2 linked regions of the Oryzias latipes genome follow. The main gene of each other region encodes a partner of the protein of the gene in region 2 in a complex. Links are inferred from orthologs where the notes say so. Each region holds a gene or a part of one and is shown on either strand. Other genes may lie near its edges.

What was found.
Region 1: the proteins of mccc1 (region 2) and mccc2 are in contact, whole or in part, in a cryo-EM structure (PDB 8JXM), measured with the Homo sapiens proteins. The link is inferred for Oryzias latipes from reciprocal best matches to the Homo sapiens genes MCCC1 and MCCC2. Residues at the interface, in NP_064551.3 of Homo sapiens: Glu519, Phe526, His531, Asp532, Phe534, Ser535, Pro536, Phe537, Ser538, Ser539, Ser540, Ser541, Gly542, Arg543, Arg544, Leu545, Asn546, Ile547, Tyr549, Thr550, Arg551, Tyr568, Tyr636, Leu637, Ser641, Glu644; in NP_071415.1 of Homo sapiens: Leu56, His57, Val60, Glu61, Lys64, Asp88, Ile91, Pro93, Gly94, Ser95, Pro96, Phe97, Leu98, Glu99, Gln102, Ile123, Gly124, Arg125, Gly128, Glu130, Arg234, Trp276, Leu278, His281, His282, His285, Lys298, Lys299, Leu300, Ile304.

What each region holds. Positions count from the first base shown.
Region 1 is NC_019867.2:5,185,536-5,189,356, reverse strand, and holds part of mccc2 (methylcrotonoyl-CoA carboxylase beta chain, mitochondrial), read left to right. Parts: intron 1-348; coding exon 349-463; intron 464-2,911; coding exon 2,912-2,997; intron 2,998-3,821. UniProt on the Homo sapiens protein: Carboxyltransferase subunit of the 3-methylcrotonyl-CoA carboxylase, an enzyme that catalyzes the conversion of 3-methylcrotonyl-CoA to 3-methylglutaconyl-CoA, a critical step for leucine and isovaleric acid catabolism.
Region 2 is NC_019862.2:18,327,616-18,330,683, reverse strand, and holds part of mccc1 (methylcrotonoyl-CoA carboxylase subunit alpha, mitochondrial), read right to left. Parts: intron 2,559-3,068; coding exon 2,477-2,558; intron 2,405-2,476; coding exon 2,277-2,404; intron 2,197-2,276; coding exon 2,013-2,196; intron 1,938-2,012; coding exon 1,828-1,937; intron 1,757-1,827; coding exon 1,540-1,756; intron 1,466-1,539; coding exon 1,379-1,465; intron 974-1,378; coding exon 924-973; intron 847-923; coding exon 709-846; intron 600-708; coding exon 492-599; intron 1-491.

The sequences.
Region 1 (3,821 bases), on a different chromosome or scaffold from region 2:
ATCTGCTCCTTTTTAGTAAATGTGTCCTTGTTTTCTCAGCAGGTTTGAATTTGACTTTACAGTTGGTTCAGACTACAGGTGACGGACTGAAACCCCTCCTCTCGTGGGGGCGTTTTTCAGCAAGAAAACACAAACCACTCATCTGTGATCGAAAATCAAACATTTCATAGACGGCAAAAGCAGAGAACAAAAGTTGATTATTAAATCAACACAGGAGTTCCTTAGAAAAAACTGTTGTTTTTATCTCTATAAGTGACCAGAAGACAGTTAAATAAATAAGTCATATCTATTAAAGATTGTTGGGATTCAACCTTATTCCAAGTTAATAATAATGTATTTGTTTTTCAGTCCTCGCTTCCTGTACATGTGGCCAAACTCCAGGATCTCAGTGATGGGGGGCGAGCAGGCAGCAACAGTCCTGGCCACCATCACTAAAGATCAGAGGGCACGCGAGGGAAAAGAGGTAACGCTTAACGGCGCTCTGCCCGCCCACACTGTGCCCTAAGCATAAACATAATGAAAAAGCCTTCTTTTAGCAAGCGTTTGGCTTGGCGGGGGTGAACCAGCATCAGTGCTGAGTGATGACTGCGATGACCTGCTCTGATTGAATGTCTGTCATAAAAGCGCCCGGGCTCCGCCGTTATGGGTTTATTAAGGGCGCAGTAACGCCTCCAGAATGACTCGTCACATCAGGACCCTGCAGACAGACTCTAACCGTGGGAACAAAGACCCAACATAAAAAAGAAAAAATCTAATTAAAGTTCAGGTTCTGAATATTATCTCTGGATGGTCTTTTCATTTTCTAGACTCATTTATCAGCCGTTTTTCAAAGTTAAACGTTAAAGTTAAACAAGTCTCTTATATTAAGTCACTGATATACATTCTAGTCTTTATTTAAAAAATACCCTATCATGCAGTTTCAGGACTATCGTTCTGAAAATATGTTATATGTTTATGTAAATATGCTATTTATTTTAGTTAGTGTGTTGTGAACAAGATAAAGGAAAGGTTTGTGGTTTTCAGAAAGTGCGTTAATGTGTAAAACCCCATTTCCCAGAAGTCTCTGCATCAAACCACAGTACATCAATGCTCATCTATACTGGCGAATGGGGGACAACAATGCATTGGGTCTGACAGATTGGCCCTAAGAAATTTAGTTGTAGTAGCAGCACCACAGAATAAGAGAAGAGACATGAATCTCACAAGTCAGTGATATGATGTGAATTTAATATTTTTAAATGCACTTTTTATAAATCATTTAGGTTTTTATCCTCAGAACACAGTATTTTAATAGATAGCCTTTTGTATTGTTTGTATTTATTAGGTTTTTACTTTTGCAAATGGGTGACGTGATAATTGCTGTTTATTTAAAAAAAAAAAAAAAAAAAGAAAATAGTCAGCATATGTCCAAATTACATCTGCATTCTGATAGCAGAGCAGCAGCGTCAGTCAAGCGACCTAAAGAGGCGGAAGAAGCTGTGAAAGAAGCCTGGTTCTGGTCTGGAGCTTCTGGAGATGATTGTTTCTAAGGAGGCGTTTTAAGTTGAAAACCATCAGGGAAACGTCTGAAGACCCACTTCATTACACAGTAACTCAGTAACGCTGGGTTCAGTCTGATTTTTAACTATTTTTGGACACAAAAATAAAATATAAGAATCATGTTCAGAATGATAAACAAATACTAAGTAACTTTAGGAGAAATAATTTCACAGTAGCACAGTAAATTGTTAAAAAAACAACAATAGAAAAAATAATTTCTATAGTTTATTGCTTTGTAGCAAACAGCTATAACACTTACAGACTCTGTTTACGTCCCTGCAGTTGATCCACTTTTAAAGACTTCAGCTTGATGGCAAACTCTACTATTGTTCAGAGGTTTTCTGTAAAATAAAAAAATAAACTGCATCCACTGCTGATTAGCAGAAATCCACTTTGGAAGGAAGAAATGAGTCAAAGGCAAAAAAATCTTAGAAAGCATGACATTACATGCATACGGACTCTGTGGTTTTATTTTATTCAAAGACATGAGCGGTTGAAATTACTTTTTGGAAGGAAATCTGTCAGTTCTGGAGGTTGGAGATCAGCAACTTGGGCAAAAAAGATAAGTGAGAGGAAGAAAGAGTGGTCAAAGTTTTGCTTTTCAAGACTTTTGTGATTTCCTAAAATTACTATAATAGACAGAAACCGACTAGAAAAGGTTAAGACCTCTTCAAAAATAAGAACGGACCATTGTTATATTTGCATTCAAATGTGTCATTAAGTGGTCATATTTACATCATATTCAAATATCAGTTGAAATACTTTTGAATTCATGTCAGAGCTGCCAGTTTTTCCCTCTGGAAACTCTTGAAAACATACATTTGAAACTTCAACAAGCATCCAGTCAATCACTCCGAAAGCATTCAGATGGAGACGTTCTGTGAAAGCAGACCCGATTCAATCAACAGGAGGGTGAAAATATTGTTTGTGCGGAGAAAAGCCTTGATTTTGTTGTCTGCATTTTCTCTCTGAGTTTCAGTGATCTGTAACACTGGGATGACTAAGAAGCAACACTGGAAAATAATTGTATAATTTGCCACACAGCAAGATGATCTTCATCAGGCACTATAAAAATGCGCCAGCACAATAATAAAATTCCTCAAAAATGGAAGTGTTTGTAAACCTTTTATAGCATTTTTTTTAACATTCATACAACTTTTTTGGTTTGGTAAATAATGAGTATCTTTATCATTTGAGACAATTGCCTGGACAGAAGTTTCAGTGACTTCCCTGTTTTTTTCCATTTTTTTTTTCCAAAAATCTGCTCTTCACGACAAACGAAGCGACTGTGTTTTCTCTGCTTCACATCTTTAATAATTCAGGCCACCATTAAAGCTTTCTGGCCTTATTCCTTTCTTCCAATTATTCATAGTTCACAGCGGAACAAGAGGCTGCCATGAAGGAGCCGATCGTGCGGCGGTTCGAAGAAGAGGGAAGTCCATACTTCTCCAGTGCCAGGTGAGATTCGTTTGGGTCGCATCTTCAGGCACTAAATCTTGGTGTTACTCAGAGAGAGTCGACTACGTAAGGCAGGAACAAATCATTCTCGTTCCCTTATTTACTCTGACATCCTCCACCGGTCTTCCTGTGATGCTGCAGCAGAACGGAGAAACAATAAGCCAGAATCTCAGCGTGGTAAGAGACGCTGCAGCGCAGCTGAAGTGTATTTGGTCTCCATTAGACGGCCTGCTGGTTTGTGTTTATTGGATTTTCATGTGATCATTATGTCTGTGAGCAGAGCACATATTAAGATGACTGGGTTGTTACAAAGATCATACGTGGAGAAAAGGCTTCTGCATTCCAAACATTTCTGGAAGGCATTGCAAAATGCAATTATTATGAAGTTTATTATGAAACTGAAGTGAGAAATGGAAATCACCTTTTTGCCAGGACCACTGCACTGCTTTAAGGACTCTTTGTGTTCTACTACAACTTCTTCAGAATACTTTGAAGTCCCACTCCGATCATCTTTTGATTTTCAAAGCGTTCATGGTGGTCTTTTAATTATGATTCACCAGTTTCAGCCAAAATCCAAAGACCTGTGTGGCTTTCTAGGACATATGTGTGAGCAATCCTGCTCTCTTTCACCTCCCTGTTGCTGAGAGCTCTCTGTTTACACGCTCTCTCGCTAGCTTACAGCCCTTCACACCCCCAATCTAACAGGACAGGTGCAACAAAGATGGCGAGCAGAAGTGGAACTATCTGCTCGTACAGTTTTGAGCCAGATGCCAGCTCAGGAAAACAAAGACGAATGCATCAGAATGGAGCAGAGCAGAGAGTTT
Region 2 (3,068 bases):
AGTGGGTCTAGATGACCCAGTGTTAAAGTGCCTAGGATAGCACAAGGGTTACAGGTTCCCTGTCAATCAAAAGACCAGCTCAGTCTTAAGCTCAATTTTAATCATAAATATGAAATAAAAACATTAGTTGCCCTGAATACTGAATCTAACCAGTTAGGGCGTTTTTAAATTTGTAGCAAGTTGGTGCTTTTTTGCATTAGACTTTTGTAAAATACCTTTTCATCTTTCCCTTTACTTTTAGTTTGGTTGTCAGTACTTTGCATTCACACTGTAGTAATTCACAGCAGAGTTCATTTGCATACTATTGCTATCTATTAGTTGGATTTGTTTCCTCTTCTAGATTTTTTATTCTTGCGATCCTAGCTGGTTCAGTCTAATTCTAAATAAGCAGCTTGAAGGTTCCAGTCTACTCCATGAATGGGATGGAAAGCAAACGGAAACCAAACAAAGGTTTTTCACTGATGCCCTTCCGAACAGAGTTTGAAACTCACCTTCTCGATGGTTCCAGTCATGGGGGCCACGGCTCCACCCTGGGCCCCCGACCCACTCACTCCAGCCAGGTACTTTGGCACAGGAACCGACACCTGGGAGCTCCCTTCCTGCAGGAGAGAGGTGAGCATTTTGGAATGCGGTTCACTGACAGAAAGACACATGCCACCTCAAAATATGCATAAATGTTTGTGTTGGAAGAGGCAAAAAAGGTCATACCGTGGAGAACAGGTGCACGGCGCTGTCCAAAATCACCAGTTTGGGACGAGACTTCACTCCGTTTATTGAGCAATGCAAGAATGAAGCTCCCCCACTTTCCTCCACCTCCCCTGTCACATCATACACGTCCTCGCCAACCTAAAAGAAAAGAAAAAGCTTTCATATTTTAGTCTTAATATTATTATTTTTTACCAAAACATAAAAAACGATCTTACAAGCATTTTGTAGCTTCCGTCTTTCTTGTAAACGACGAGCACGTCGATTTCTGCAGACGAGAAAAGCTGATTTAAATATAGAACGTTTGGCGCAAACACAAATGCTCGTCACAATAAAAGCTCCTCCGTGATGGCAGTGACTGAAGGGCTGACCTTTTCTCCTGCACAAACATTTTAATACAAACATTTAATGATGAATGCAGGTTCATTCATGAGCTCCAGCACATTAAACCCCTGAGCAAATTCAATCCCAGATGCAGGATTGACTCTGCCCACATCTGCACTCCTCTCCTCTGACAGTTTTCACAGGATATTCTCTACAACCCAAGCTTTTAAAAACGTGAAAAAAACAGTGTGTTGCATTTTTTCTGACATGGATTATTTTAATAAAATGTGCAGACTTGCCTTCTTTCTCTGACTGTTTGGTTGCAGCAGCAGTTATGAGTTTGACTTACTCTTGTCACTGATCTGCAGCGTCATGTTCCTGTTGAACTCCGTGTTGCTTCTCCACCCACTGCTGCAGCCGAACGGGGAGAACGGATCTGAAAACAAACAGCACAGTAGAACCTTCGAGTTTGACCTCATTCTTAGGAGACCCTCCCCAGCCGTTGGATACCTGTCGAGGTTTCTATGAACTCCTGCGTGTGTTTCCTCTCCTGCAGGATGAGGCCCAGGGCGGCCTGGCAGATGGTTGCCCCTGACGGGGCTCTGGGAGTGGGGAAGAGGTCGGAGTAGTGCTGAGGGATGAAGCTGGTGCTCACGTTTCCAGCCTCAAACTCCGGATGTCCAGAAAGGCTCAGCAGAAAGTCTATGTTGGTGTTCAGTCCGACAATCTAAAACCATAAGGCGGCATGTTGGGAGCGGTTCTGGTGATTGACAGGTTCAAATGTGCTTCAGCCCTCACATTGTACTGCCGCAAACAATAGCGCAGTTTCTTTAAGGCAGCAGAGCGGTCCTCCCCCCACACCACCAGCTTGGCAATCATGGGGTCATAATGCGCAGAAACCTCGTCTCCTGCAGCCAAAATCAGCCGTCAAGCCCCCGTTTTTCCACCTTAAAACCCACAAAAGCGGCTCCGTCCTTCCCCACCTTCTCTGACTCCGGTCTCGATGCGGGTGTGTCGGTCCGCCGGAGGCGTGGACAGATGCAGCAGGGGCCCCGCCCCTGGAAGGAACTCATTGTTTGGATCTTCAGCGTAGATGCGGGCCTCGAAAGAGTGTCCTCTCAGGATGATGTCATCCTGAAGGAGGGGCAGGCGCTCCCCTGCTGCCACCTGGAGGAGATTTCCATAAAGCCGACTTAAGGAAAACATCAACAGATGGTTCACATTTCAGGCCTCTCTTCCAGCCTCACCCTGAGCTGCCACTCCACCAGGTCAGTTCCTGTGATCATCTCAGTGACTGGATGCTCCACCTGCAGCCTGGTGTTCATCTCCATGAAGTAGAAGTTGTGCTGAGCATCAACTATGAACTCCACCGTACCTGCAGGAAGGGGAAGGTTTTTAGAGTCTCAAGGGTGAACAGCTGGGGTGAACAGCTGGTAGTAAGGATCACCTGCACCAACGTAGTTAACAGCTTTGGCCGCTCTGACTGCCGCCTCGCCGAGCTTCTTCCGAACCTCAGGGCTTATTCCTGGCTGAAGAAGAAGAAGACGTGAAGATGTAAACTTCAACCAATCCATGTGAAAGTGATCTTCATGCTGGAAACTGAAACTCAGCTCGAACACATCCGATAAAAAACAACAAAGCTATGTTTAGGAAACTTCAGTAACATTTATCTTTGCCATTTAGTGTAGAAAAACACTTATTTTTCAGCTTTTTTCCTCACAAAGACACTAAGCTTACAAATGGAAGCACTTAATAAAAATCTATTAAAAAAAAGAGAATTCCTGCACAGCTTCTAAAATTGTAGAAAAACACTAAACCTCTTTTTTATTGCTATTGTTTTCCCTTTTTTACCGTCCTGCCAGAGAATGCAAAAGTTCTCAAAGAGGTAAGCAAAAACAAAATCTATGATGACAAGGTCGTAAAAATCTGGCTGAATCCTCCAAACTAAGAAATAGATCATGTGCAGGCCCGTTCTGCTGGTGCACAGGCTTCAGTGCACTTACCAGGAACTGGATTTATTATTTAATGCACTTCTGATT